4 linked regions of the Rhinolophus ferrumequinum genome follow. The protein of the gene in region 2 purifies or fractionates together with the protein of the main gene of each other region. This does not show direct contact. Links are inferred from orthologs where the notes say so. Each region holds a gene or a part of one and is shown on either strand. Other genes may lie near its edges. The genes, in order: CYTH3, INAVA, CYTH1 and CYTH2.

Region 1 (7,089 bases), on a different chromosome or scaffold from region 2:
AAATTATGTTTTACAATTGGCTGACAAATGACTGGCAACTGAAATTATTCTCTTCCCAAGGGCCGAACTTTATTTTTAAAAACGTGAATTTTAAAGCAAAGCATTGTTTAGAAATATAAATAGTAGTAATAACTAAAGAACTGTAAAGAGGTAAGTTAACTTCAAAATCTCCAAATATAAGCACACCAAATTTATACAATAATCAATGAATAATGATTCTTATTTCAAAGTTTTAAGATTTTCACTGTTTCAAAAATATACTCATTCTAAGATTGCCAAACATATTTTTAAGTGTCTTCCATAATGCAAGAAAGAAAGATCTTAATAAACCATATCAGTAAAGGTTTGACACCGTTTTCCAGCACCTAGCATGCTGCCTGGGGTCGTAGTAGACAGACAATCGATCAACATCCGTCATCATTGACTGTTCCAGTGAAGTGAATTAAATCATACATTACAACAATCATTCTCCTTTCCTACTGCAGAGTAAAATTTTAATACTTTTTTTGTTCAAAAGTGGAAGTAATACACCTCATTCCAGAAACTTGGAAAATATAAAAACTAAGAAAATAAAACATCCACAGTATCATGTTTCCCCGAAAATAAGACCGGGTCTTATATTCTTGCTTATGTTCAGGGGCTGTCATCCTGAAAAAATCATGCTGGGGCTTATTTTCTGGTTAGGTCTTATTTTCGGGGAAACATGGTATCACCAGTTTTTTCATTGTTTAGACCATGATGTATACAACTGCTTATTTTTTTTTTAAAGATTTTATTGGGGAAGGGGAACAGGACTTTATTGGGGAACAGTGTGTACTTCCAGGCCTGTTTTTCAAGTCAAGTTGTTGTCCTTTCAATCTTAGTTGTGGAGGGTGCCATTCAGCTTCAAGTTGTTGTCCTTTCAGTCTTAGTTGTGGAGGGCACAGCTCAGCTCCAGGTCCAGTTGCCGTTGCAAGTTGCAGGGGGCACAGCCCACCATCCCTTGCAGGACTCGAGGAATTGAACTGGCAACCTTGTGGCTGAGAGCCCACTGGCCCATGTGGGACTCGAACCAGCAGCCTTTGGAGTTAGGAGCATGGAGCTCCAACCACCTGAGCCACCGGGCCGGCCCAAAACTGCTTATTTGTAATGGTCATAAAACAATTCGTCCAATAAGCTTCCCATAATTTACCTCACCAATCTCCTACTAAGCACTGCTGTTTCCAATTTTCTACTATTACAGGGTAATGCACATCTTCACGCATGATATATTTTTTTTTGAACTTGAAGGCTGTATTCCCAGAGGAGATATTAAGAGCCCAAAGAAAGTCTAAAGACTTTGATACTTAATACCATCCTTTGTTATAGTCCTCAAGACCTATAAACTGCTGAGGCACACTGGCTTCCTTTTCTTAATCTTTAAACCTACTTTTACCTTCAAGCTTTCTATAGTCCTTAACTCAGAAACACCTTCCAGACAAAATCGCCAAACCAGCTGGCTACCTTGACTGTAAATGGCAAACGCTTAACTATTACAGGTCTGTGTCTTTATTTTCTAAAAAGGAAAAACTGCTCTGCCTGTTGGTACCCAAATTGGGAGACGCAGGAAGCAAGGCATTTAGAGTCCAGGACTTCGTCTCCAGACAGCCAGCCTGGCTTGTGGGAGGGTTTGCAACTGGGCTCCTTCTTTCCACAGCACTTTCTTTCACAAACACCACACCCACTCGAGCCACAGGGCGACCCCTCCCTTTCACTATGAGAACTGAAGTCGCCAAATGCCACCCCTGCTGCCAACTTCCCACCATCACAGCCGCGTCGCTTCTTGGGGCACAAACACTCCCCGTGAGCAGCACTTAAATGCTACGAGGCACCTTGATTCACCGAGGACTTGATCCGGAGCGTGCAGAATGCGGCAGCGGCTCCCGCAGCCTGTAATTAAGATTTTTTTTCAGAACGCTCCCTTATTACCAGGGGTGGGGATGACTCGGTCCGTCAGCAGAAAGGAGGTCGTCAAAGTAGGGAGAACCTCCACTTCGGGTGTTGCAGTAAAACTAGGGGTGTTAACCCTTTGCTTTCCACACACGACCCACTCCATACACACAGACACGTTATTCTGTTTGAAAGTCAGAATTCGCGGCGTGACACAAAAGCACTGTGCATCCCACTAAGTAACTGACCGCCAGTGCGAGTCTCCCGGCGACAGGGACCGGAGCGTCGGGCCGACAGCTGGGTCTCGGGTGTCCTCTCCGAGCGAGGCTTATTTTCTGCTGAGTCGGGAACGTGTCCTAGTTCACGGAACGGGCGCGCTGGCTGGCCCTCCTCGCCCAAGGACCTCGCTGACCGCTTCTGACCTCACGCCAGCAAAACTGTCACGCCTCTCCGCCCGCTTCCCCCACCCGCCTCTCTCGGACCCCGAGGATCCCCGATTCAAAACTTTCCCCTCCCTGGTTCCCGGGGGTTCGCTCACTTCCCACCACCCGAGAAAAGACGCTGCGAGGCTCGTCCCCCTGCGGTCGGGCTCCGGAGGGCACAGCCGCCCGCGGCGACAGGAGGCGGGGCAGGTCGCCCCCGAGGTGCCCCGCCCCAGGAGAGGGACCCCGAGCCCCGGCTCCAGGCCCCGAGCGGCCCCAGCCGACGGGCCGCCGGCCTCGCCCCGGACCCTCGCTCGGGCTCGGCGGCAGCGCCGCCCGCCTCCTCCCCACGGCGCCCGGACCCCCGCCTCGGTCTCCGGGCCCTGCACGCTGCGGGCCTCGGCGGTCGTCAGCGGGCACCAGCGCTGCGCGGACCCGGTCTCCTCAGGCGGACCCCGACCCCAGACCCCGACCGCCCTCCTCCGCCCCAGGCCGCCAGCCCGGCCGGCCACACCTCCCACACTCACCGCCGCCGCCCTCGCCGCCGCCGCCGTCTTCGTCCATCTTGAGGCCGCTCCCGCTGCCGGCGAGCCCGAGACCCGCGGGCGAGGGGCCGCGGGCGGAGGGCGCCGCGAGTGCCGAGCGCGCGGGCGGTCGGACGGCTCCGGCAGCGCGCGGGCCGGGTCGCCGCCCGGGCCTCCTCCGGCCGGGCGGGGCGCTCGCGCTCGGCGCCGCCGTCACGTGACGCTCAGGCCCCGCCCCGGACCGCGGTGGGCGGGGCCGCGCGCTCAGGCCCCGCCCTGACCCGGCGGAGCCTACCCCGCCAGGCTGAGACCGCCGACCCTCCCCGGCCAGCCGAGCGTGGACACCTGCCCGGCCCCCGCTTCTGAGCAGCTTGGGGACGGCTGTGGGGTCGGAACACGGGAATGTCCACCCCACAAAACTCAGCGGCGAGGGATCCTCCTCGCACGTGCACTCAGAAAAAAAGATCAAGACGCGCACGTCTTCCAAAGTCAGGCCTTCCCTCTTCGGCCCTGAGAGATTACAGAGTAATTCCAACCCTTCAGCTTTCTGGTGTATAATGGAGGCGCTCCTTTCCTAGCGATGAGTGCACTTTAAAATTAACAAAGTGTAAGGCTTGTAAATGGACGTCATCATGAGGTCCCAATCCGGCACACTTGGGGCCCCACCCTCAGCGGGCTCTGCAGAGATTGGCCAGTGTGGCCTCAGATGCCCTTGCAGTTTCGCTCCAGTCTCCCTTGGGAAGCCGCCAGCTGCCCTGGATTATGATGCAGAAGGAGCTCTGAATTCAATTTCCTGTGGGCACAGCCAGGGTCCTCAGCGCACGCCTCTTGGGCAGAAGGCCTCCACTTGCTCCTGCTCCAGATCTTCTATGAATCACCTTTCTCTCTCCCCATCTTGCTTCCAGTAACTCCTCCCAAAGCATCGAATGTGGCCCCTCCCGAGCCTTTCTGTTCATTTTGCTTCAACTAAATTGCATTAAAGAAAAGGAAACATTGTAATGGAGGAGATAATTCATCTCTAATATAATTTTCCAGCAACTGTTTTATATTTACAAATGGCCCATTGAGGGGAAGGAACCTGTTCTGTCATTTATCAAAATGGACAATTTTCACCTTTTTGTTCAAGGTTGTGAGATGATTCCAAAGAATTCAATCTCCTAGTAATCTCAAGAATTAAACACCCAGCATTCGGGTACTTCTCAAGCCACCGAGCACACTTCTGGGTGCAAATAAAATGTTTGGCAGCTTATGTGACAAATATGCAACTGAAAAGGGGTCTGGGCATCATGGAATGTAGATTTAAGACTTGGCTTCCTGATCCTGTTCCCGTCCGCTTGGTTATCTTGGAGATAACATCAGTTACCAGGAAAAATGACAACATACTTGGAACTTGATAATGTGGTATGTGGAGCTTTGAACTCAAAGATATTATCAATTATAAATGCTTTTAGATGTCAATTCCTAATTCTTTAGTTTTCGTAGAGTGTGATCCATAGGAGCTTCTCTCAAAGTTTAAATCTGAAAATTGCTTCTCTGATCTCCATCTAAGCTAATTTCCATCAGAATAAAGCATAGCCCAGTTGCCCAGTTATTTGTAAGCAGAATATTATGTTATCCTCACAGCTTATTCTTTTCGACAAAGCCTGCAAAACTGTTGGGAGAATACGGGCTTTGGGTGTCATTTCTGCACTTGAATGGGGAAATTGGAAGATTTCAAAACTTTCACTACTCAAAGGAATTCATATCTAATGGAAAAATTAGATTTCTTTAAAAAAAGAGCGGTTTTGCTGTATCTCTTAAATCCCACCAGCATAGTTATCTAATCTGCCCACAGGCAGGTTGCCCCTACATATAGGAACATTAAGAATCCTAGTTATCCGCTAAGATAGGCACTCACTTTATGTCCAGCTTATGTGTGGGCGACTCAGATGTTGAAAGCTTTATCACTGAATGTAAGGAAAACGATTCATGCAGCAGACATCACCCCGAGACAACAAGTGTTAAATCCAAAACCTTGTTACCATCATTCAGTCAGACAATAAACATGTAGACCAAGCACTATCCCAGGAGCTGGGAATATGATGATGAAAAAGATAGAGTCAGTCCCTCTCCTTAAGGGACGTACGCCCTAGAAGGAATACAGCCATTAAGTAGATAATTACACAAACAATTATTTAATGGAAATTTTGAGCCCAACCCTATTTATAGCCTTTCTCACAGTATTTGCTGTTTCCTTGTAGTGGCTTTGCCACCTGAAACTCCTTCAGACCCAGACTGTAGTCTGTATTTATTCTGTCTCCAGGATCCACTGCAGGGCTTAGCGGTGTCATAAAAGGGGAGAAAGCTACTGTATTTATTTGTTACTACTGCTGGATGAATAGGGCAGGAGACATCTTAAAAACATGTTAAAACTCATTTATCAGCCCTTTGACCATTGCAGAAATAGTTTTAAAAAATCAAGAATGTGCACATACTGGAAAGGTCAGAGGATTTCTCCTTTTTACCCTCATCTCCATTCTCCAAGTGAAAGTGTGAAATCAGACAGACGTGTCCTCTCCCAGCACTAACGACACAACAGCCAAAACCTGCCAAAACTGGTTTCTTCAAGCTCAGCCAGGAAGAGGCTGCCGAGGCTGCCTGAGCTCCGGCTGCTTCCAGACCCTGCGCAGGGCAGTTCCCATCCCCTCTGACAGCGGTCAAGAAATGCAGAGATAGCAGTGACCGTTAACAGATGGGAACCTCGACTAATCCGTTACATCTGCTTGGGGGTCTGGTCTAGTCCAGGGAAGGCATACACAGCAGCCAGCTCACAGTCCTAAAAAGGAAGGCAATGTTTTCTGAAATCTCATTTCATCTAGGACAGAAAACATCTCATTGGTATAGAGGTGATCTTGTACAGATCAGCGTTCTCCACTCTGCCCAAGCAAACGACAGGGGTCCGAGTGTCAAGTCACATCCTCATTAAATTTTCAAAAGCCCAGGCATCACGTCCTTCCCAGCGTTGCCGTTCCCTTTCCAATACGTCCATGCAGTGAGCCTTGGCCTTGTTCTCCAGCCTGGAAGCCACACGATCGACAACAGTTCTCGGGCCTCACGTTACCAAGGGCAGCTTCCTGCCTTTTAGATTGATTAGTAACTTGCATTTTTGCAAGAACAAACATGGTCAAATTTCTTATTTGTGGTAAACTTGGAAAAAATAAGTTAGCCACCATTTCGAGCTATTTGCCTTCGGGAGAAAAACATTATACCCACTCGAGGCAGCATCAACATTAAGAGTTATTATACACACGGCGTCTTCTATTGTAATAAAAAGCTGTGTTGTTTTTATCTAGTTCTTCATTTTTATAGCATGTTCCCTGACCTAAAAAAAAAAAACTTGTTTTTTTTTCATTTAAAAACATCCCCTTCAGAAGTTGGCCTGAGTCTGCAGTGTGCCGCTTAAAGTCATCAGGAAAATCCATCTTGGGGTGCAGAACGTACCATAGGACAGGCAATTCGGGTGAAAGAAAGAAAAAGGGTGAAAATGACAAACATAAGGACACAGAACATCTGTCTGTGATCATGGTTCTCTAAATAGAAAGTGTGCTCCCAGCCAGCAACCAAGCGACCGCACAACACCCGTCGCAGAGCGCTGTGTGTCCGAGCAAATGTGATGCTGCAATTTGACTTGTAGGACAGCGAAAGCCAGCCATGAGTTCAGGTCATTCGTTGCCTTTGAAAAGAGGCCACATAATGCCCAGGAAAGTCACTAGGTTACATCATCGCGTGTCACCTCTGGTAACTGGATAATGCAGGCTGTCAAGTCAGACAGCCCAGGCACTTCCTTGTCTTGACTGTGTGACCTTGGGAAAGTTACCTCACCACTCTGTGCCCTCGTTTCTGTACCTGAAATGGAACCTACAACAACTCAGTTGCTCTGAGAACTAGAACTAGACGTTACCATACGCAAACAGAGCATGGCACACGGTAAGCGCTCAGTCAATCAATGCTCATCACTGTTACGCATAGAAATGCACAGTTTCTCCAATCCCTCATTGTCAAGCCAGACGGAATCCATGAGGCAAAGCTGAATCTCAGTAAGGGCTCCCACTTTCCCTGCCACCTTCTAGCTGCTGTCTTTTTTCCCAGGTTTGTCTTCTGGAACGTACCTTGCCATGCTTTGTACCATCTGCTTACGAATTATCCCAAACTTCATACCTCACCAGGCTTCTAAAAAACTGGCTTCTTAGAGTCAC
Region 2 (7,789 bases):
AGAGCTCTCCGGCCCTCCCCATGTTTGCCCCCAGCAGAGGCCTCGCCCAGCTTCCCACCCCCCTCCAGTCCTGCAGCATCTCAGCCTGGCCAGCCCGGGGGCACCTGGGACTCAGAGAGCCGGGCCTTCCTGAGCCACTCACCAGACTGCAGGATTATGCCACTGTCGCTGTCGCTGACCTCATCCTTACTCTCCATGGTGGACTTCTGGGAGGAGGCTGCACAGCGCAGGGAGGGATGACACCGTTCCCAGCCTGAGCCACGACGTGTGGGCGGCCTGGAATTTCCCCAACTTTTAAGAGACCGAAAAAGCTACGTGTAAACCCCCTTGGTCCCAAACAGAGCTTAGCAATCATGCTGGAGGGCACAGGGCATGGAGGTGAGGACAGTGCTCCCTTGGGTGAGCACACATGGGGGTTCTCAGCAATGGGGGTGCGCAGAGAGAAGGCTCTGTGGGCCCCACCACCATACCTCCTCCCCGGGGGCTTGCTGGGCCCACCACAGCCCCCCACTGCCTCCTACCCAGAGAGACACGTAGGCCCAAGTGGTTCAAGAGTGGAGGTGGCCCCAGGAACTACTGACCCTGGGGAGAAGGTCAATAATGAGAAGAACAAAAGGAAGGGGACAAGAAGAAAGGGTGGGGGAAAGGAAAGCAGGAAGGGGACAATGTCCCCAGGAGGCATGCCAGTCCCTATAGGGCCACTGTTCTCAGCCAGAGGACCCGGCGGGCCCATCCTGCTGCCCGAGTCGCTGGTCTCTGGGCATTCAGCCAAGGCCCTGGGCTGGTGCCCCAAAGCCCAAGCTGCCCGGCTCTCTGGACCAGGATATTCATCCGAAGGCAGATGCCAGACAGCTAGCTGTCCCAAAGCCTGAACCAACTCCTACGACACCAGCCATGACCAGGAGATCCCTTGAGGGGGAGTCGGCCTAATCAACCTGGACCCCTTGGACCCACAGACAGAGGAGCCTCGGGGGGGTGTGTCAGGGTTGCTGGGGGTGGAGGGAGGGTGACAAGAGCAGAAGCTGCCTTCCTGGGGCTTGGGGACACTGGGGTGGCACGGCACAGTACCAGCATCACCAAAACAGCACCTGCTGCGTGTCCCCTCTCATGAGCCCACACCCCTGGTCGGCCCAGCTGGCTGGGCTGGGCAGCTGTGGTTGCAGTGCTGCAGGGGTGGGGAGGGCGGGCGGAGCCGGGCGGGCGTCTGGAAGGAGCCCAGCCACCTCCTCACTGAGTCAGCCCATTAAGCAACAGTCCAGTCCTCGCAGAGTTTCTGTCTAGAGCTTATCCTGCCTCCGGAGGGCAGGGGCCACGGAGCAATGGGGGTGCGCAGGAGAGAAACACGGGCCTTGGGAGAGCAGACACAAAGCAAGACACAGAGAGGAAGCCCCCTCCCCCCAGAAGCACCTCTGCCATTGGAGACAGAAAGCGCAGAACAAGTGCAGAACAAGCGAGCGGCTTTCCAGACCTCCGTAAACACCACCGCCCGTCAACGTGCACAGGCAGAAACAGCTGAGAACCTCAGGAACCTGCACTTGGGCAGTTCAGCTCCAATGAAGCCTCGAGAGTGGGTGGCAGGATTGAACAAGAAAGTTTATGTGTGGCCTTTGCAAACCTGTCTAAGAGACTGGCCGTATGTTCTGGGACCATCGTAGGGGAGTCACCCTGGCCAGTCTGTCCGTCCCTCCCAGGAGATGAGAGCCGGCAGTCACTCTCCTCCTACCCCGCGGCCTCTGACCCTCCCCAGGCCAGGCCAGGCCCAGCCCCAGAGCCGGGCGGAAGCCAGTTTCAGCCAGCTGGGGCCTGGGACGGCAGGGGTAATGTGTGAGGGGAGCCATTAACTAGCCACACTTGCTAATTAATTATTAACTTCGGAAGGGATCTCCGTGGGAAGTTGTGCCCCCAGTTCAGGGACTGACATGGGGGGCTGAGCAGACACCCCTTAGCGGCCTCCTCTCCCCCAGCCCCTCCCCCCAAGTCAGCTGGGTCTGGGGGGGGGGAGGCACTGCCCTCAGGGGTCCCAATCTGGCGCAGTGCCCACCAGGGGCGCACTTCCTGCTCCAAGCACAGGCCTTGAAGTCGGGAACCCCAGATTGGAGTCTGTTATCTGGGCAAGTCACCCCACCTGACTGGGCCCCGTTTCTCCACAGGCACAATGGATATGAGCCAGTGGCTAAGGCCCGTCCAGCCCCCGGCCTGAACGCAGACCTCTGGGACCCTGTCAGACACACCATTCCCTCCTCTGGCCCTGCTGGTACCTTCCGCACAGTGGGGACTGGTCCAGTGGGGACCAGTCCCGAGCCCACCTTCACCCAGGGGGGCACGGGGCTCCAGCCAAGGTGTCTCAGGCCCTGCTTTTAGGCAAAGGCAGTTTGGGGAATGTCCACTCCCTCCCCACAGAAAAACCTCTGCCCTCCAGGACCTCAGATCCAGTCCTGGGCCCTAAGACGCAGTCTGTCCGCCTGACTGAACAACGTCCCCAGGAAAAGGCAGAGGAGGAAGAAGGGGAGTGAAGGGGGGAATGGAAACTCCGTGCACCCTCCCTCAGGGCTCCTCTTGTCAATCACTAATGTGCCCCGCAGCCCGGGTCCTCATCCCTGCTTCTCCCTCCTCCTGGGGAAACTGAGGCCTCACCACTACAAGGCCAGGCTCCGCATCCGGTCCCACCAGCACCCCAGCGCCCCTGGGCCCTAGACGGGAAGGGGAGGTGGTGCTGGCCAGCGCCTGAGCCACTCCCGGGCCAGCCTGCCCCTCGGCCCCAAGGACCTGTTCCTCCAGCTGCCCTTCCCTCACCTGCTGTGCGTGAGTCCGGGGAAACAGCCCCAGTTCCCAGGTCAGGGGGCCGACGGGCGTCGCATGTCCCTTGGGGTCTCCCAGGCCACAGGGCGAGCTCCTGGCACTCTCTCTCTGACCTGCTCCCACTCCGCACACACTGGTCTGCCAGCACTTGGCCTGCCTCCCTCCCAGGCTGCTGGGCCCGGGGAACCTGGTTGCTTGTTATGACTTGAGTCAGAGGGAGGAGCAGGTGAGCTAGTCCCTCCCTGAATAAACCTGCGTGGCTGCCACAGGGCGTCTGCACTTCCGGGCAGCAGAGGAGCAGGGGGAAGGGGCCCCCCTGGGAGCAACGCGGGCGTTCACAGGGGTCCCGTCTTCATGGCCTCTGGGGCACTGGTGCAAAGGGCTGAGGTGGGGGGCTCCCGTGCCCTCCTGCCCTGACCCTGGCTCCCTCAGATGGCATTGTCCTGTACCTCAGTTTCCTTTTCCAGAAATCCGGGCACACAGCCCCCCCAAAGCAGATGGAAGGGCTACAGCCATGGGGTGGGGGGTGAGAGGGGGGAGGCGGGTACCAGCAAGAAACTTATAAAGTGACGAGGCCAGGTCCTTGCTCTTCCCATACACAGAAACGGACACCAAGCCTGAGTTCTGTCTCTCCCAAGTCAGCTTAGAAGCCTCAGGAAGGCAGTGACCCCGGAACTCCATGTGGGGAGGCTCTGGGGCCCCGAAGCAGGCCCAGCTGCTTTTTATCCCCAACGCCTCCCCCCAGGACCATCAAGACCATCACTTCCCTGTTATTATCGACATCCTTCAGCAGGGTCCACGGGGACCCGAAGCCCAGTCCTGTCCCCTCCTCCCCAGGAGGGCCACTGTCACCCCAGGCTCTAAGCCCATTCCTCAAACTCCAAAATGGAACTTGTTTCCCACAAAAAAATAAGCTTCCAGCTCCACCCCCTCATTGCCCCTCAAGCAAACACTGTTGGAATTCAGCCTGTTTTACTGGGGAAGCAAAGGGCTCAGGCCACCTGTTGCCTGTCCCCATCGAGCTGGAAAACAGAAAGGCTGCGGATTAAGGACTGTCCCCCACAAGACTTTACCCCACCACCTCCGTTTCCCCCACTCTGTTCCTCCCGCCACAACCCCCCTCCCTGGGATCCCAGCACAGCCTAGGCCCGCACTGCTTCCCTCCCCCACCCCCAGAGTCGGGATGAAGAAGTCAGCTCCACCAAGGACCTCCAGTGGAGCAGAGCTGGGTCACCCACCGAGCTCCCCTTGCTCCCTCCCCTTCCCCAGCACCCCCCTACACACACCCAGCTCCCCTTCGCATTCCTGCACACACCCTCTTTCCAAACAATGGAGGCCTCCAGGCTGACCACCTCCTTCCCTCCCCAGGCTGAGGCTGAGGGGCCCCTCCAGGGGACAGCCCCTCCAGGGGACAGCCCCTTGGATGGACAGGAGCCAGCTCTTGGTCAAGAGCCTGCAGCCCTCCCCTCCCCCCATCTAGGAAAAACAACAGGCGCCCCCACCCCCCACAGGTTTGTCACATTCTTCCAACGTCAAACGAGGCACCTAATTGACACCCTCCCTCTACCTCGCCCATCCCCCAGCTCCAGGTGGGGGAGGATGGGAATTTCTGGGATCAGCTCACAGCATATGTTTTGATGCATAAAATAAAATGAAGAGAATTACTGAGAACCAATTATATTGAAACACAGTTCTCAAAACAAACAAACCAAAAAAAAAACAACAGTGATGTATGTGCACCTTCACTGACATTTACACAGGATCTATCAGTGGGGAATGTCGCAGAAGTGATGAGTGGACAATATTTCAAGGCAGCTACGACTGCAATGTGACATGAAACTGCGAATTCTATTAATGGCAAAGTCACAGGTGCTGCCCAGAGCTTCTCGCCTTGTCACCGAGGGCAAAGCTGAATCTCTGCTAAAGGTGGTAGAAAAGAAAGATGTGGGGTTTTCCCCATGGAAGTTCATGAACCCTCGGAATTCTCTCCAGATGCTTTGGTGCCCAGGACCCAGTTAAGAACCCCGCCTTCCGGGAACCCCCCCTCTGCAATCAGAGGCCCCCTTGCTCCCTCAAATTCACAGGCAGTGTTTCCCAATGCAGCAGAATCTGGGGTTTGGAGTGCGACTGGCAAATCCACTCTCCAAGACCCCAGGCCCACTGGATCTGGCTGTGCCGCGCCATTCAACTCAAAACACCAAGGGAAGATGGGCATTCCAGGGAACTTGGGGTTCCATGTCCCCACTACCAGCCAGTCTAGGTCAGGGGGCTGATGGATGCCCCAAACCGCAGACCACCAGCTGGGGAGGACGTGGATTTTCCTCGCGTCACATTAGAGTACTTAGAATCTGATCTGTGATCGGAGAAAAACCACCTCTCTTTAGGGTGGTCAGTTCCTAAGGAAAAGTCCTGAATCAGAAAAGTCTTCCACACCCCGTCTCCCTCCACTCCCCAATATTGTGTGAAGTTCCTTCTGATCCGTGATTGGAAGTTCTTTTAAAGCCAGGGCCTCTCCTACGTCTCCACTTCCCCACCCGCACCCCGCAACGTCCAGTCTCAGGCGCCCTGGAATTCCACCGAATGAATTAACAATCAGTGGTCTGCGCTAGGCCAGCCGCGCAAAAAGCAAGAGGGGAGTGGGCCGGGGACCCTCCAGGCGAAGGGGGTGGGAGGTGCTTCTTCAACCGTGTTCTTCCTCCACTCTCCTCCCTCCCCACTGGGAGAGGTGTTCGCCTCCAGCAAGCGGTGATGGCGTGGCTGGGACGGGGAACCCCAGCTGGCCCGGAAGGCGGCCTGAAACCAGACCTCTGGCTTTCCTTAAAAGCCCCTTTGTGCGGTCCACCCTCTCCCCTCCCCCACTGCGCCCTCCGCATCCAAGCGGCCGGGACTTTGCTCCTTTTGTTTGGCTGCTTTCTGGCTTCCCGGAACCTGGCCGGCGGGGGGGTCCACAGCACGGGGAGGGTCCAAGGAGAAAGGTGGAGGCGGTGGAAATAGGCATTTGGGGTAGGAACTCAGAATTCCCACCCTCTTGGCGAATTCCCCCATTCCTTGTAGGGGCCCCTCCGCTAAGGCCGAGGACCGTGGGTTCAGGGACCGATCCCCCGCTCACCCGGCCGCGGCCCCCGTTTCCCTCTTACCTGTCCCTCGGAGCTGCGGCGCCGCGCGCCCGCGCCCGCGCGCCCGGGTCCGACCCCGCAGCCGCAGGACCCGCGTGTCCAGGCCGCCGTCCCTCCCCCCGGCCCGCCCTCCCCGGAGGTATTCCATTTAACTTCGGCATTTGCAGCATCCCAAATGTTAAAGATCCCAAGACATCTGTCCCCCGGGGCGTACCAAGGCGCGGAGGAGGGGGGAAGCCGCACGAGGGGCTTCAGGATTCCCACCCCAGAGTCGGGCGGGGCCGCGTGCGGGGCGGGAAGGTGCCATCGTGGGTGGGTGGCCTGCGGGGGCACCGGCTTTAGGGGCGAGGCCGTTCCCCTCCGCCCGATTTCGGGCGCCCGCGTGCTGGACCCCCCCGGCGCGGCCGGTTCCCGCGGCCCTGGCGGGAGGAGGCTCCTCTGCGTTCGCGCGCCGCCTTCATCCGCGCGCTCCGGCCGGGTATGGCGGGGCAGCTCCATTCCCGAGACCCAGCGGTGCGAGAGGCGGCGGGGGCGCCGCGCCCCTGCCAGCTCTCGTGCGCCCTGGGAGCCGGCATTGCCTCCCCTCCTGCGCCCCAGCCCAGCCCTCCTCCTCCGGTGCTGCTGGCCGAGCTCAGGACGGAAAAGCCAAGGAGCTCCACCCTTCATTCATTCATTCATTCACTTCACGTCCCTGTTCTCATTCGCTCAAAACAACAGTGTGCCCAGAGCTGATGGTCGGAATGCAGGTTCCTTCCCCGGAGGACACCACCACCACCACCATCACCACCACCACCATCACTACCACCATCACCACCGCCATCACCACCATCACCACCACCATCACCATCACCACCTCCATCGCCACCACCACCACCGCCACCACCACACACCTAGACTGTTATCAAGCCGCAGCAGTGTCCGTGAGGTCAGGCCCAGGCCCCAGGCGCAGAGAGGGACCGCCAAGCCTGGCCGCAGGAGGCAGTGCCAGGGTAATTTGGAAGGTGTGAGGAACCTAAGGCAGCAGTGTCAGGATGCACAAAAGCTGAAAGACAAAGGGGCTCAGTAGGTCCTAGGAGCTGTGGGGACATTCGGGTGTGGGACAAGCAAGAGGGAAGGGAATGGAAGATGGGAGAGAGACAAGGCTAGTGGGCAAGCACGGCCCCCTGGGGTTGTCCAGGTTGTGCACTGTGCAAAGAGAAAAGGCTCACACACACTCCACGTGCCAAGCCCGGACCGGGGCCAGAGCTAAATCTGCCTAGAGGTGGTGGCTTTTTCTCATTTGTACGAAGGCACAATGAGCTAAGCTGGCTGACAACCCATGTGGGCTGGCTAAAGATTTAAGATTTTTATCCTGAAATTGAAGAGAAGATAGTTGCATCACTCAGGGTTCTCCAAAGAAACAGAAAAAAAGAAAAGAATATATACTGGGAGTGCCAAAAACTGTATACTTGTATTCATCTTTTGTTACCGGTATATATGGAGTATCACAATTTTAATACAATTTTTTCCTTTCTTAAAATGTGTATGCATTTTGGGGGCACCCTCTGTATATTTGAGAAAGCTGACAAGTCCAAAGCCTGCAGGGAAGGCTGACCAGCTGGGGACCTAGGGGAGAGCTGCAGTGGGGCCCAAAGGCACTCAGCCTGCAGAAGCTCCTCTTCATCAGAAGAGGTCAATCAGCCTCTTTCACGGTCAGCTGACTGGATGAGGCCCACCCCCATTACAGGATGGAACCTGCTTCACTCAGTCTACCGTTCCTTTAAATGTTAATGTCATTTAAAATATACCTTCACAGAAACATCTAGAAGAATGTTTGACCAACTGTCTGGGTACCATGGACTCAGCCGAGCTGACACAACATTCGCCATGACGCT
Region 3 (7,682 bases), on a different chromosome or scaffold from region 2:
AAAATCAACACCCTCGTGCAGAGGCACTATACTTACTTCTGTTTGGAGATTTTTCCTATAAATGATACTTTATACTCACATGGTGACTTATAGCTTAAAATGTGTTATCATTTCCATTTTTATTTGAATGTGACAACAAAGTCCAACTATGAACTATGCCTATTTCCTGACAATAAACTATGCGCCGTGTAACCTCCCGTTTCCAGAGAAGACTCACGGAGTACGAAGCACCTACCGGGTCAGCCGCTAACGGAGCTTAGTACTAAGTCAGGATCCCCGGCTGAGGCCTCGGCTCTTTATTTCCTCTCACTGTTACAAGCAGGCTCCCGTCAGCTCAGCATTTACTGAGCATGTGCACAGGCCCAGCCTGTGCGTGGCGCTGGGATTTAAATAGCTCCAGCCCCTCCCTGAGTGGAACGTGAATGCCAGTGGAGGATGCACGTGAGCCCGTTGGGCACCACACACTGCCACCGCAGCCGCGCACGCCCAGTACTCAGGGACACCTGGGGACAGACGCCGAGAGGCTTCCGAGGGGCCGGGCCTCTGGGACAGGACTTGAGGACGAATGGATTGTCCAAACAGAGCAGCACAGACCAGTGTGGACCCACATGTCACACGAGACAGGGAGGCCAGGCGTGGCTGGGTGCCTGGGTCAGGTCAGGGCCCAGGACACGTGGGGACGGGGACAGCACTCAGAAGAGCCCAGAGAGTACTGTGAGGCCTCGTGTCCCACACAGCGAGGGGCTTGGACTCCACCCCACAGAGGAGGTTGAAAGGCAAATCAAGGGGAACTAAGCATCCCGAAGATAAGATTCAACAGCTAAAAGCGCACCTCCGGCAGTGACGACAGCTGTGCCTGATTCAGTCCCCTGGTCCATGCCCACCTAACATACCTGCGAAAGACGGCAACCGAAACTGATGAGCGAAAGCGCCAGTAAGGACAGAGGCAGAAAGCACTAACTGTCACTTAAGGGCTGGGGCTCTGACTTGGTGCATCAGGAGAGGACCTGACTTCTTTAAAGAAATCTTCAGAACCCCCCACTTCCCTTTACTGGGCATGCTCTTTGGGTTAAACATCTAGGAAAAGCAGCTCTCGTGCGCGTAAGGCTGACACCTAACTCTCCCTTCTCTCCCTCTCCTGGGACCTCGGGGAGCTGCCCAAGGAAAGTCCACAGCTCCCTTCATTGCACACGTGCCCGACGCTGTTTCTGCATCTCATCTCAACACCATGGGGCAGCGGCTTTAGCGGTGGTTAAAAAGGTAACGTGCCCCCCTAAGGTCCCGGGGGGGAGGGCTAGAGGAACGGAGAGAAGCGCTCATTTCTGGAGGCCCCTTCTTCAAAGCAAAGGTGCCCATTGATCTAACCCTAAACTCTGGTGTCTGAAGTCCCTGCCCTAAAATGGTGTCTCACACCCCCACCACTGAAACAAGTGCCACACGCTGAATGGCTAGTGTGGAATTTTAAAGCTCTCGGACGGTTAGAGGCTGATGACATCGTTCGTTAAACAACGCCCCCTCCGTGGGTCTACAGCCAGGCTTGTCTAGAGGACACGGTCACCAGCAGTCAGCATCTGCCCAGGCCAGTGGGTCACACCTAATGTCCTTTTTCACTCTCAAAAGTACCCGCTTTTGAACTAGAGACCTTCGAACTCGAGTCTACCGTAGACTGGCCTTTCGGATACAACACCTCCCCCACGGGCAGCTCAGCCTGACCTAGATCTGCCTCTCCTTACTGTCCCTCTTCAAATGCAGAACTGTCATTATAAACACCGATTTATGTCCCTCTCTCCTAAAGCCTTTCACGCACGGTACAGCTTTCCAAAGCAACCCACACACACGGCCCACGGTCATCTGCATGACTAGAGGTAAAACTTTAGAAGGTGTTTCATAGTGAACCGGGGAAGGAAAAGCATAAAAGGACTCCCAAACTTTATTACAACTTTTACAAAATCCACTTTGAAACACAGCCTAGTATTTACTTCAAACGTACTCATGTCATCCCCTACCAGGTACAAACCAGTAGCCATTTTGCCGTTGTGTCTTGTGCCATTAAAACACTGCCATGGGGTGAAGGCATCACATAAAATCCACACGTCCACACACAAACCTGTGACTCCAGAACGTTGTAAAGCCCTGACCTGTGCTTTGAGACACTCCTGAAGACTCTTTTGGGATTCATAAGCCACAAAATTTGTCATCCTTTTACTCATAGCGTCACTGTCTACAGTGTGGGTGTGGAGGAGATGAAGGAAGTTCAAAAGAGGAAGATGGGAGCTATCTGCAGGCTCCCTTCGTTACACTGTATCTAACACAAGCAGATACTATTTACCCTGAAGCTCTCTGGTGTGCTTTCCACCAGGTCTCTAACATCTTTTCTTTTTAGTGTGACGCTCACTGTGGACATACATGCAACTCCCAGAGCTTCTGACCAACTTACTCAGATGCAGGAAGCATAGGCTGGAGCACCAAGCCAGAGCGCCCGCTCCCTGCCCTCAGCCAAGCAGCACCCAGGGCAAAGATGGGGGCGGAGATTCTTTGGCTTAAAAACACACCAAGTGTGTGTGTCTCTGTCTCTCTCTCTCTCTCTCTCTCTCACACACACACACACACACACACACACACACTCCTGAGCCTCTGAACACTAAATCGCCCTCCACCTTCCTCCGGAAAACAGGAAGACACAAAGCAGAGTCTGGGTTGCCACTTGTCCCAGAGGGCAGTGGAACTGTCGTCACAGGACTTCACACACTGATCAACAGAGATACTTAAACCCCACTCCACACACCCACGGCGAGACCGGACTCACCGCTCTCCTCCTCGGTTTTAAGGACCATCTTTCTCCGTCACAGCAGAACCCCAAAGGTGGCTCGGTTTTGCTCTTCAAAGGAGAACTCCGCCAAGTTTTCCTGGGAGGTAGGGCTGGGCAGGCCAGGAATACCTGAGGGCTGCCCCGCCAGGACAGCTCAGAGCTGCTTCCTGAACCCCGGGGCTGGCCGGCTGCCCTCCTGGGCCAATCAGCCTCCAGCCGCAGAAGCAGCGTCACCCGTCCACTGCCACCGCCCAGTTCCTGAGGTGAAGCCCAAGCGGCTTCCTCCTTGCCGTCTCCTCCCTCGTCCTCCCTACCAGCAGTCTTGGGCTGGACGCCAAGGAGTCTAAGAGCTGCCCTGCTGCTCTTTCCTCAGATTCAACCAAAGCCATGGGTTCCCCTCTTCCTTTCCCAAGTGCTTTCTTAGCACACAATCACTGAAAACCCCTGGGCCTCGCACAATAAGATAACATTTCCCAAGGGAAAGACTAAGATCGTAATCAGACGGTATGTTATGAGGTCACAGGCTGAAAGCAGAAGGCAGACTTGAGAGACAAAAACAAAAAATCCAAGAGCAACACTCTCCGAAGAAGTTCAATTTTACCACCATTCTATTTTCTCCCGGGCCCCACCAAGCTGTTCTTCTCTGCACACTCATTACATTCACGATACGTTTGTTGTTGAAATTAGATAACAGTAATGAGGAAAGCAAAACCAAAAACCTTAATCCTATCACCAGGGACACCCACTGATGACATTTTGGTATATATTCTTTATATTCTTCCAGACTTTTGTTCTATGTTCTACACACACATGTATCTATCTATATATGTACCTCCTGTATCTCTCCTATATAATACATATTACATATATTTCTCTCGCGATATATTTATATTATTTCAAGATAAGCATATAGATAAGTATACATACACATAAATATATATACATATACATAGACAGAAAGAACTAGATCTTTTATATGCTCTCTCTTAACCAGCTATTTTTACTCGTAACAAACATTTTCCATGACTGTAAAATGGACACCGATCGTACTTTTATTATTCACGATATGGACAGAATATGTAGCCATCCCCCTACTGTGAGACGTCCCGGAGGCTGCCGGATTCTGTGCCAACCTCTCACCCAGGTACTTCTTGGCACGTGCCTGTCACCACCTCTTCAGCAACGTCCCCAGCGGGATCCAGACACAGCCTCCCACCTGCTCGTGGGTGAGACTGAGGGGTCGGCACCTCAGCCAGTCACACGTACAGGTGACAGCAGCTGGGGTATCGTCGTGTGGCAACACTCCTGGGTGCTCCCTTTGCACCAGCCTGACAAGGCCGGGCTCCTCTAACCCTGAGAGCACCTCATGAGGCAAGTGCTATCTCCAGCGCCCGTGCCCAGATGAGGACACTGAGACGTACAGACGTCCCACAGCTTGCCCAAAGTCCCAAACCTGGCACTGACCCCGTCTGACTGCAGGGCCCACCCCCTGGTGGGGTGCAAACTCCTGCAGCAGGCTGGGGGTAGGGGGTGACCGTGCCGTCCTGGACAGGGTCCTAGTGGGGCAGAAACACCATCCACAGCGACACACCAGAGCGCAGCCTCCAGTCACATCTGAAGGTGGCCACAGGTGCCTCGAGGGCAGGACCTTGGCCACCCTTTTCCTTCTTGTCTAATAATAAATAAATATGTACATCTACATTTGTAAAAAGCACTGTTTTGTAGAGGCAACTAACATAAATCCGAAAGTCCATGTTGCAGTTACGCTTTCTCCCTCCCACCCCATCTGCAGTAAACCCCGGGATTGCCCGGCTCTGCTCCTTTTCAAGCCAAAGCTTAAAGCTTCCCTGCCGGCACCAGGGCTGATCTCCGCTGCTGCTGGTCCCCATTTGAAGAAGACAGGTCCCTTCCATCTTCTACTTACTGTCAAGTGGAAGAGCGTTTCTCCGGAACAGACGCCCTCGGGCAGAACTGCTGGCCCGGGAGGCCCGGTGCTCAGAGCTTTCCCAGATCCGGCCCAAGGCTCCCCGAGACCCCCAAAGGACACCCCTCATTTCTGCCCGTCTATGAGTGAAAATGGCTTCACAGTTGTTCAGTTTGCAGCGATCTGTGACTGAGATGCTGATATATTTTCCTAAACGTGAGGTATTTCCTCTTTTGTGAAATGCTTGATCATGTCCTTTGCCAATTTTCCGATCAGTTATCTTTTCTTACCGATTTGTGGGTCACTAACGTACATGTTGTAAATATTTCTCCCACACTCTTGTCACTTGCTTTTAGCATCAGTTGTGGTTATCTTCTGTCTTAGAGAAGAGTTCCTGTTGCAGTCAAATCTCTAATCTCATCCTCATTCGTTTCACTCAACACCTGCGTGCTGTGCGGCGTCCTGGACACACATCAGAGAAGTAGGCCTGCCCTGGCGGGGAGCTGGGGGGTGAGGGCAGGAAACAAACAAGAAGTAACGCCACGTGGAGCTGCGCGCGTGGGGGTGGGGGCGGCCAGGGTGGCTGGAGCCGAGACACAGGAGGGGAGGGCTGCCCGGGCCTTGGAGGCGATTTTAAGGACTCTGGTGTCCACTGGGGGTGAGGCGGGTAGCGGCTGCCAGGGTTCGGAATGAAGTGGAAGACCTGACTTCCTTTGTAAAGATACCACTTCGGCTGCGGGGGAAGAACAGACAGGGCAGACACAGGGAGACCGGCTGGGATGGTGGTGGCTTCCGCAGGAAGGGGTCAAACTCTCGCTCTGCCTACTTCGAAGGCAGGACCGAGGACTTGCCACACATGGGGTGTGAAGGCCGGGACAGGAGGAGGACGGGGCCTCCCAGCTCACGCAGCCGCCGGCCCCCATCACTCAGGCCACTCCCGGCCCCTCCGCTCTCTCCTCCGGGCTGCGGGCTGTGTGACTTCCCGCTCTGCTCCACTACTCACGCTGCATTCTTGCGAGGCCGCCCAGTTCACGTTCTCAAAAGAGGGACTAAATGGCTCACAGGGCCATCATCCCAGTTTGGGCACAGGGGGGCACCTCACAGACCCCAGGCCAGCCTGCAGGACAGGTTCAGTGCCAGCACCCATGAGCTGCTGGCAGAAAGGCTGCCACTTAGGCCTTAAAACTGGGAGCACGGCGGGCACTCCTGGGCCAACTCCACCCTGTCTTCTGTGTGATTTCTGTTGCTCCACAGTTAGTACAACACATAACACTGTTTGTTAAAAAGGAAGTAATGAACGAGTAACGTCTTCAATTCCTTAAAATAGAAATTTAACTACTGAAGCACCCAATTATATGTTTGACTCACTCATCAGGAAAGTGACTGCGTAACTTACCCATATGAGGACATTTCTGAGATTGAAAACTATTCAGAATGACATCAGCCAACAGGCATTAAGGGGGGCAGCCCTGGCATCACCTACCCCCTGCTGGGCACAGCACCGGTGGGAAGGACGGTGGGGCAGTTATCCAAAGGGGGGCTGTGCCCAAGTTCAAAGCACTTTGAAGAACAAGGAACAAGAGCTACAGAAGCAGAGCAGGTCCCCAGGCTGCAGAGCAGCAGCGGAGTCACGAGGCAGGAGGCAAGGGGACTGGCCCAGGCCTTGTCATCAGCACCAGACAGCTCAACAAAGCGGAAGAACACACCCGATAGCTGTTCATGTTGAAAATCACACGAGGCCGTTTGCATGCAGGGGTTTTCACCCAAGACACTTTTTATTTTCAATTAATGAAACACCTTAAATAAGCCTTGATCCTTTACTCCAGCCTCACCCCCTCTGGTGGAGGATAAGCTGAGAGCATGCGAGCAAGTAATGGTTTGAAATGACACAAGAACACTTCCATGAATATTCATGCAATATTCTAGGGAAAGGTTTTTCTCATCAGTCATAATGCCAAGGACACACAGCTGCACTCAAAGCGGGAGTCATGTCTGTCTGTAAACGTGAGGGCAGAGTTTGGGGAGACCAACAGGAGTGACGGAGCCCCCAGGGCCAGCGAGAGGGAGCAGCTTTATCAGTGCCAGGCCTGCAGGACGAGGTGGCTGCAGGGAGAGGCCACTGGTGGGAAGTCTGGTAGGGAGGGGACTGAGGACACAGCACATCCAGGGCGGCCTCCAGCAGAGGGCAGGAGGGACACGGGCAGAGATGGAGGGCACACTACAACACCCGATGCCGGAAGCCACTCCTGAAGAACTCAATGGCCCCTTCATCTGCCCGAGTCTATGCTTCTCATCACCGTTTCAAGACCTTCCTTAACCTGACCCTGCGGTCTCTCCAGGCTCATTCCTCACCACTCGTGCCTGGTGTTTTTCTTTAAGCAAAACAACACGCACACACCATATAAAAGCAAGCATTACGTAAGGCTTAAAACAGAAACCACCGTTTCCTGCCCAACTCTACCCCTCGCCCTCGAATCCTGTTCCGTAGAGGAAGCTCTTTCAGCTATTTCTTCTGCTAATTATTTCAGCATTTCTAAATAACAGGCTCACACCATCCATTCTTGAGTTTTCAGTTCTGCCATTACCCCCAACACGCACGTGCGCGCAGCCACTCAGTGTAGCTACATGTACATTTCTGGTTACATCAGGAGTTAGTGTTTCGTAAATATTGCTCACAGCGTAGCCATACCATGCGCTGTGATTAAAATGACCACAGAGGTGTTAAGTGTCTTCTTTTTTGTTTGCTTACTTCTCTTACTGATTAATCGCCAAGCTCTCCCCAAGGCGTAAAACTGCCACCATGGTCAGAACGCCGTGGATCTGTTTGCGGGACGGCCATCCATGGACTGTACCCTCACCCCCTCGCCTGAGCCTGCTTCCAACATCGTCCTGAGACGTTCCCCAGCCGCTGCCCAAAACTGGGTCCTGTTTCTGTGGTTCTGTGTTTCT
Region 4 (7,663 bases), on a different chromosome or scaffold from region 2:
GTGCAGGGCTTGTAGTTCAGTTGCAGGTGGGTGGTGTGCGAGGAGCCCAGGGGCTAGCCTGAAGCAGTGGTGGAACACAGGATGTGGGACCTAGAGTGTCTTCTTGGTTTATCTTTCTCTGGCGACATATTGAAAGCCATTTTTCTCTCCCTCTTCTCCTTCTCCAATTGCTGGTCGGATGTCATTCTTCTGTTTCTTTAACTTCGTTTCTGCCTTGCTCATTTCTGTGGCTCTATGCCAATGTCACTGTCCCTCTCTTCCTCTCTCCCGTCTTTCTCTTCCTTGGGTTTTATCCCTAAACCCTCTCTGAGTCTCTGTCCATTTCTGTTTATCTCTGGGTCTCGGTCCCTCTCTCTCTCTCTCTCTCTCTCTCTGGGTCTCTGTCCCCTCCCCCATGTCCTCCTCTCTTTCTGGGTCACCATCTTGCACTTCCCCAATTCTTATACTCACCCTACCCTTACCCCTGCCGATCCCTGCTCTCCTCTTTCTCTGCATCGCTATTCGTTTCTGTTACCTTCTCCGTCTGCTTTCATCTCCATGCTTCCTGCTGTCTTTGGACCCATGCCTTCGGCTACAGCCTCGAGTGACCCCGGAGGGTGAGTACATACCACTGGACCACCAGGACGTGGATGTGGGCTTTGATGGTGGCACTGATCGTATCTTCCTTGTGTCTCCCATTACCATCGTGCATGAGATTGATTCCTCCAGTCCTCTGTATGAACTTGGATGTGCCGAGCTGGCCCGGGCTGACTTTGAACTAGTGGTCATTCTGGAGGGCATGGTTGAGGCCACAGCTATGACCACACAGTGTCGTTCTTCCTATCTCCCTGGTGAGCTGCTCTGGGGCCATCGTTTTGAACCAGTCCTCTTCCAGCGTGGCTCCCAGTATGAGGTCGATTATCGCCACTTCCATCGCACTTATGAGGTCCCAGGGACACCGGTCTGTAGTGCCAAGGAGCTGGATGAACAGGCAGAGCGGGATTCCCACAGCCCCAAGTCTAACTTCCCCGGCTCTCTGGCTGCATTTTGTTATGAGAATGAACTTGCTCTGAGCTGCTGCCAGGAGGAAGAGGAGGAAGAGGAGGCCACGGAGGGGGATGAGATGAAGACAGAAGATGTGGCTGCCAGCCCCTGAGTACTCACACCAACGCTGGCGCTGCCCCTGCCCCCGTGATGTCAGCTGGTGTCCCCCCATTTGTACCCCCTTCCCAGAGGCAGCAAGATGGAGAGATCAGGTCCTCTCCTGGGGTGGGGGCAGGTGTTCTCCAAGACGGACAGGTCTGCTGGGTAAATGATTAGCTGGTGAAGTTCTGCCATGCCTAATGGACCCACTCGATCTTAATTCATCTACATTTTGTGCTCCCTCCTGAGACCCTTTTATCAGCCTGATTCCTGAGTCTCACCAGAGCTAAGGGATCCAGAACTCGGGACCATCTGAGAGGGAAGGGCTGGTGGTTCCAGATTATTCTATATGGCTGGCTTGGGTTGTTGAACAGGGTCAGGAATCCATGGTATAGACCACCTCTGGAGGAGGAAGTCAGCACTTCTAGAGCAGCAACAGAGAAAAAGTTTATAGGTCTGGATCGACCTATAGATTCAAGGGACTGTTACTTCTAGACTCAGCCAACTAAGTAGCAAATCATTTTTTCTAGACCACCTGAGGAGGGAAAGTTATGGAATGCCCCAAGAATTCAAGACTGTCTTGATTGACCAAAGACAAGGAATGTCTTGACCAAAGTCAAGAAAAGACCTGTGGTTCCAGAAAACCCATATTTTGAGATTCTGTGAATCTAGATTTACAGAGAGAAGAACTACTCCAGAAACTAAAGAGTAATATTTCTAGAATGCACAAAACAATGGAGAGTGTGAGTCTAGAAGAACTAAAGTGACAGATTGGGAGTTCTTGATAGTAGATATTTCCAGACCACTAGCTGTAGAACATCGAAGCAAGGGCATAATCAATGCTTCTAAATGATCCACAGGGTTTTTCTTTTAAGTGCCATTCTAGAATGTCCAAAGGAACCAAGATTCTGTGGCTCGAGATTGATCACAGAGTCAAGGAAGGAGTGGCGATTCTAGATGTCTGAGATTTACTGATTCCAGTTTGCCCAATGAAGTTGAGAATCCTAATGATTCTAGATGACTTATTTGTGGTTCTGTAATGCCAAAATGAACCAAGGCTCCAGGGATCCAGAGTTGTCCATTAGCAAAACCTGGAAGTTCTGATCAGCTCTTAGTTCTAGGAGGTGGACTCAGGACTTGATAGGTAGAATTTCTGGGCTGACTTAGAAGGTGAGGGCCCAGGCAAGACCCTGTAGGTAACAGGGCTAGTTATTGGGCAAGAGAAGGGAGAGGCCCAAAGCTGGCGAGTCTACAATGCTCTGGATTCTACACCTAGTGATGTATGTCTGTGTCTTAAAGATGTTATACATATGTGTATTATATATATTATAAATACTGATATCTATTTTTTTCCAAAGGTTCCTAAAGAAGGGTTAGAAATGGAGCTTGAGCTAATTCGAATGGAGTCCTTTACAGGATTGGGAAGCTTTGCTCTAAATCCCAACTCTGCCCCAATGTACTGGGTGACTTAGGGCAAATCACTCCCCTCTCCTCACCTCAGTTTCCCCATCTATTAAAATGGGGCATTGAAACTTCTCCAAGGAACTTTGGGGCATTAAAATGGGGCATTGAAACTTCTCCAAGGAACTTTCAACCAGGATGATTCCTCAATTCACTGAGGGTTGGGTGGGGGTGCGGGTCATAGAGATTTCCCAGCTCTCCCTGGTGCTAGAACACATAGTTTTCCGTGGGCAAGTGGTATCAGAGATGCTCTTGGAGGCCAGCTCTGAACTTGGATTTCAGAATGACAGGGCAGGCAAAGGGTAGTGAGGACTGTGGTTGTGGGCTGGAACCACCTCTTCCCTGGTCCAGCTTCGGGGGGCAGTAGAAGGAGGAGGTAGCTCTGAATGCCAGGGGAAAGTATGTGTTTAAGGGAAGACTTGTCCCCCAGATTAAAACACTGGGAGCCTTCGTGGTATGTCTGTGACTGCTGCTGGGGCATGGGTCCTTGGGCCTGGTCCCTGCCCGTGCTGCTATCTATCTCAGTGTCCAGCAGACTGGGAGCTAGCCACAGAAGGAGCCAGTGCTAGGGAGAAGGACACGTTCCCACCCGTGTCCCAGGGCTGAGAACGGGCACTTGCACATCAGTCTGCCCAAGTGCTGCACCAACCGAGGTCCCCCTTCTGGCTCCCTCATCTCCCTTTATCCCTCAGAATTGTCACACAATAACTGGATGGGATTGATTATCTGGCTGCTCTCCCAGCTCACGGTGTCTATCTGGGGTAGGGACTGGGGACAATAGAAACACAGGGATGGAGAAGGATGTTACGTTGGAGATAAAGGGACAGGAAAAAGGTTCTGTTTGGAAGGAAAGAGAGTAGGGTCAGGGATGGCACAGCCTGGGTTTCCACTGGAAGGGCAGGGCCTGGGCCACTCATAAAGGTCAGTAAGGGGATTAGGAGGCGCTGTGTCTAATCTGTCAGTTTAACCAGGTCCTGGCCCTGAATTTGTCCCCACCTGCCTAGCCCAGAGGCAGCGAACGAGGACGAGGCCCAGACACCACCTCAGACCCAATTACGGACCTGGGTGCCCAGGTTCTCCATCCAGGCCAAGATCCTGCACCTGCTTTGCCTGCGAGAAATGAGAATGAGAGGCTGGGAGGACTCAAATGCGGGAGAATTCTGAGAGGAGAAAGGCATTTAAAAAGAGCAAGAATGTGAGAGAAGGGGGAACCTGAATGAGGCGAGTTGGAAAGGAGTGAATGGACTCTTAGAAGGGGGAAGGAATCAGAGGTGGGAGGGTGCTGAGGAAAGTTGTCAGAGGGGGAGGATGCTAAAATAAGGGGAGGAGTTTGGGGGAGAGGGAAGAGCCTGAGAGTCAGCAGGTGCCAGGAAGGCGGAGCCTCTGCTTTCACTATATTTGGCCTTTCCCTATTGTCCCATTCTCCTTGACAGATACCAAATAGCGTAGCATTTAGAAGAAAGAATACGTCTTTGTTCCACCACTCGTTGACTTTGAAGAGGCTGAGGTGGATGGGGTCATAGGAGGGGTTAAGAAAAGGGACTGGAGATCGGAGGGGCCAGTTCCCGGAGGAAGGAGGATAAAAGAAAGGTGAGCTAACCAAAGCTGCTCCCGGTTGCGTGGCAACCGCTGCGGTCAAAAGCCAGCTTGGACTTCTAGGAGGTGTGGCTCACGAAAACATCCGACAGCTGTGGCCCCGCCCCCTAGCAACAAGGCTAACAAAGTACCGCCCCCCCCCCCCCCGAAACACACAACTAGAGGCGGGGCTCGGTTGAACTATAATAGTGTCCTTGTGCCCACAGCCCTTGGGCAGGCGCAGTCCTCTGTGCTCCCGCATAGTCCCACCTCCATGCAAATCCTTTCCGAGGTTTCTCATTGGCGAGCAATCCAGCCAAGTGACTTCTTTTGTTTCGGAGGCGGGGCCCGACGCACTGGCTGCACTCCGATTGGCATCGCAGGCCGTCTACCTCCGACCGGACATGGCTACGTCTGCTCCTTGTGCCCTTATTGGCCCTGGAGGATGGCCCTTCGGTACCGGGGGCGGAGCAGACGAGAGGGCCTGCAGTGGATTGGACGGTGTCGAAACGAGGGGCGGTCCCTACAGGCGGGGCGGTTGGTAGGCGAAGAGAGAGTCTTTTCAGCGCTGAGGACTGGCGCTGAGGAGGCGGCGGTGGCTCCCGGGGCGTTTGAGCGGGCTCACTCGAGCCCGCGGGCCAACGCGGATCCAGGCCCGACCGGCGGGACCGCCCCGGACTCCCCGCGGGCCTTCCTAGCCGCCATGGAGGACGGTGTCTATGGTAGGTCGGGGAGGGGTGGAGCTGGCACGAGCAGATGGAGTCTTTCGTCCCGAACGTTCCGGTGCGAACGTTCCCTTTGGCGCTCACCTCGCGGAGCCGTTCGGCCCCATCGTTGCCGCCTTGCTTTTATGGGGCTTGGGATGGGCTTCCGGCGAGACCCTAGAGCGGGGCGTTCCAGGCCATTGTTTGGGCCGATCCTGTTTCCGGTGGCGGCGGGAGGGGACGGGATGGAGCAGCGGAGGCGAGGCCGAGGCGGAACCTTCCCCGCCGGAGGGGCCGGGCGAGCCCAGTGCCTGCTGGGAGCAGGCAGGGGGACTTCTGGGGGCGGCGGAGTAGGGAAGAAATCTTGGGGGCTGCAGAGATCCGGCTAAGACGGAGGCCTTTGATGTCCCGCCCCCTTTCCCAACTCTTACGAGCTGTCATCAGCTTTCCTTGCCATAGTTAACTTTTCATGGAACAGGAGTCCGGACATCCAGGTCCCAGCTACCTTGCCAGTAATGGAAGCAGAACACCAAGGCCTCAACCCCTTTCCAAGTAATGGAACCAGCAGTTCAGGCTGCTAGCCCAGTCTCCCCCAGACCTAAGAGTTCAAGCTCCAGCCCCCTTCTCCCTCAGACTCAGGAGCCCGGACCCCGGGTCCCCGCCTCCCCCAGGACTCAAGAGGCCACCAGCCCCTTCTTCCATTAGACATAGGATGCTGGACCCTCATTTTCATCATCCCCACGAACCTAGGAGTCCTGTTCCCCCTTCCCGCACCCCTGTCATCCCCCAGATTGCAGGAATCCAGGCTCACAGTCCACAGAACTGACCTCCAACTCCTGACCCCTAGAACCCCCAGACCTTACGCCGGAGGAGCGGATGGAGTTGGAGAACATCCGGCGACGGAAGCAGGAGCTGCTGGTGGAGATCCAGCGCCTGCGGGAGGAGCTCAGCGAAGCCATGAGTGAGGTGGAGGGTCTGGAGGCCAATGAGGGCAGGTGAGGGCTGGGTAGCGAATTTGGGGGTCATGGGGCCAGGCCGGGGCCAGGGATGCCCAGGTATTGACCCTCCATCCCCCTGCTCTCTGCCCTGCAGCAAGACCTTGCAGCGGAACCGGAAAATGGCCATGGGCAGGAAGAAGTTCAACATGGATCCCAAGAAGGTGCCTGGGGGCCACAGGGCTGGGATCCGCCTAGCAGATATCTTGACGGAGGTTCTGGCACCTCCATGTTCCACAAGTGTGATGGTTAAAGGCCTACTTTAGGTGTACAGATTTGGTCCTAATCTCTGGATTTAGAAACTGGCTCTCCACTTATTCTCTGAATACTAACCAAATATTTCAGCCTCCTGACCTTGGCCTGTGCTGTGTTCTCTGGGAGATCCTCTTTCCTCTTTTTGCTCATATTCCTGGACCCACTTCCGGTGTCACCTAGAGTCCCAGGACGAGCTTATGTCTGGTGGGGAACATGGACAGTGACATACACAAAGGCAGGTTGACCACTGCCGTGATATGGAGGTACAAGAGCTGTGGACACTCAGAGGAGGGAGCCCAATGCAGTCATGGAGGGCTTCCCAGAGAAGGGGACGTTCAGATCTGGTGTGAAGGACGAGTTGGTGTTCACCAGATGGAGGAAAGATGTTTGTTGATTCAGTCTTTCTCTTTATACCCAGTTCCTGAGGCCTCCCTTGGGCCTGCCCCTCTGCTAGGCAATGCTGGGAGCCCAGAGAAGAGTTTGACCCTGCCCTCAGGGAGCCCCTAGACGTGGATACCACAATTCAGTGGTGTCCATTATAGAGCTATAATGGATGCCCTCATGGCATCAGGAGAGCCAGAGAAGGCCCTAGTCCAGTCTGAGGCTTGGTCCTCACAGCCCTTGACAGACTGCTGCCCGAAGCAATTGTAGTTTGTTCAATCATTCAACCAATATCCACTGAGCTCCTGTCCCTTGCGGACCCTGCTCTGGGTGCTGGAATTAACTAGGAAAAGGCAGAGGGAACAGTAGGTGCAAAGGTTATGAGGTGGGAGGGATGTTATTTAAAGACCTGTGAGAAGCCTGAAAATGACACCTGGCCCTGCCCTGTTGAGCGTGGGGGTGGGTTTGCGTGCTGTAGTTTCCGGGGAGGTAGTGGAAAGTGGCTTTCTGAGCACATCAGCACTGAGACCCAGACCCCACCCTCCAGGGGATCCAGTTCTTGGTGGAGAATGAACTTCTGCAGAACACACCTGAGGAGATCGCCCGCTTCCTGTACAAGGGCGAAGGCCTGAACAAGACAGCCATCGGGGACTACCTGGGGGAGAGGTGAGATCCCCACCCACTCCCCTGGACCTCTCCCTACAGCCCCCTACACCCAGCTCCTGCCCTCACACTGCCAGCTCGTCTCCTGAGAGGCCCTGATAGACCAGCCTTCTGACTGGACTGTGACAGAATGGACTGACACAGGGACCTGGGGGAGACTGGGACCGTCCATGAGCATTTGGGGGGCATGGAGCATTTCTGTGGACATTTGGGAAGTGTGGAGACGATCCGTTTACGTCTGGGACAGTGGAGAGCATCCGTAAGTGTCATGGGAACATGAGAACCATGTAGACAACTGGTGTGCACGGGAATTGTATGGACAGCTGGGAAGTATGGGAACTGTCAGTGGATGTCTAGGAAGTATGGGGACCCCGCGGACATCTGGGAGCATAAGGGCCATCTCTGGACGTCTGGGATGTATGGGGACCATCTAGAAGTCTAGGGTGCATAAGATTGCACATTAGGAATATATGGGGACCATCAGTGGATGTTGGGGAATTCGGGGAC

What was found.
Region 1: the proteins of INAVA (region 2) and CYTH3 purify together in Homo sapiens (co-immunoprecipitation; 3 studies listed by BioGRID and IntAct, counting the BioPlex papers as one, with this or other methods). This does not show direct contact. The link is inferred for Rhinolophus ferrumequinum from reciprocal best matches to the Homo sapiens genes INAVA and CYTH3.
Region 3: the proteins of INAVA (region 2) and CYTH1 purify together in Homo sapiens (co-immunoprecipitation; 3 studies listed by BioGRID and IntAct, counting the BioPlex papers as one, with this or other methods). This does not show direct contact. The link is inferred for Rhinolophus ferrumequinum from reciprocal best matches to the Homo sapiens genes INAVA and CYTH1.
Region 4: the proteins of INAVA (region 2) and CYTH2 purify together in Homo sapiens (co-immunoprecipitation; 3 studies listed by BioGRID and IntAct, counting the BioPlex papers as one, with this or other methods). This does not show direct contact. The link is inferred for Rhinolophus ferrumequinum from reciprocal best matches to the Homo sapiens genes INAVA and CYTH2.

The regions. Positions count from the first base shown.
Region 1 is NC_046307.1:41,044,496-41,051,584, forward strand, and holds the start of CYTH3 (cytohesin-3), read right to left. Parts: upstream 3,003-7,089; 5' UTR 2,895-3,002; coding exon 2,858-2,894; intron 1-2,857. UniProt on the Homo sapiens protein: Promotes guanine-nucleotide exchange on ARF1 and ARF6. Promotes the activation of ARF factors through replacement of GDP with GTP. Plays a role in the epithelial polarization.
Region 2 is NC_046310.1:1,238,022-1,245,810, forward strand, and holds the start of INAVA (innate immunity activator protein), read right to left. Parts: upstream 3,002-7,789; 5' UTR 2,794-3,001; intron 292-2,793; 5' UTR 198-291; coding exon 143-197; intron 1-142. UniProt on the Homo sapiens protein: Expressed in peripheral macrophages and intestinal myeloid-derived cells, is required for optimal PRR (pattern recognition receptor)-induced signaling, cytokine secretion, and bacterial clearance.
Region 3 is NC_046304.1:52,556,572-52,564,253, forward strand, and holds the start of CYTH1 (cytohesin-1), read right to left. Parts: upstream 3,001-7,682; 5' UTR 2,835-3,000; coding exon 2,807-2,834; intron 1-2,806. UniProt on the Homo sapiens protein: Promotes guanine-nucleotide exchange on ARF1, ARF5 and ARF6. Promotes the activation of ARF factors through replacement of GDP with GTP.
Region 4 is NC_046298.1:44,010,032-44,017,694, forward strand, and holds the start of CYTH2 (cytohesin-2), read left to right. Parts: upstream 1-4,660; 5' UTR 4,661-4,861; coding exon 4,862-4,880; intron 4,881-5,709; coding exon 5,710-5,857; intron 5,858-5,954; coding exon 5,955-6,021; intron 6,022-7,040; coding exon 7,041-7,159; intron 7,160-7,663. Other genes in the region: KCNJ14 (ATP-sensitive inward rectifier potassium channel 14), read left to right, coding at 578-1,135. UniProt on the Homo sapiens protein: Acts as a guanine-nucleotide exchange factor (GEF). Promotes guanine-nucleotide exchange on ARF1, ARF3 and ARF6. Activates ARF factors through replacement of GDP with GTP.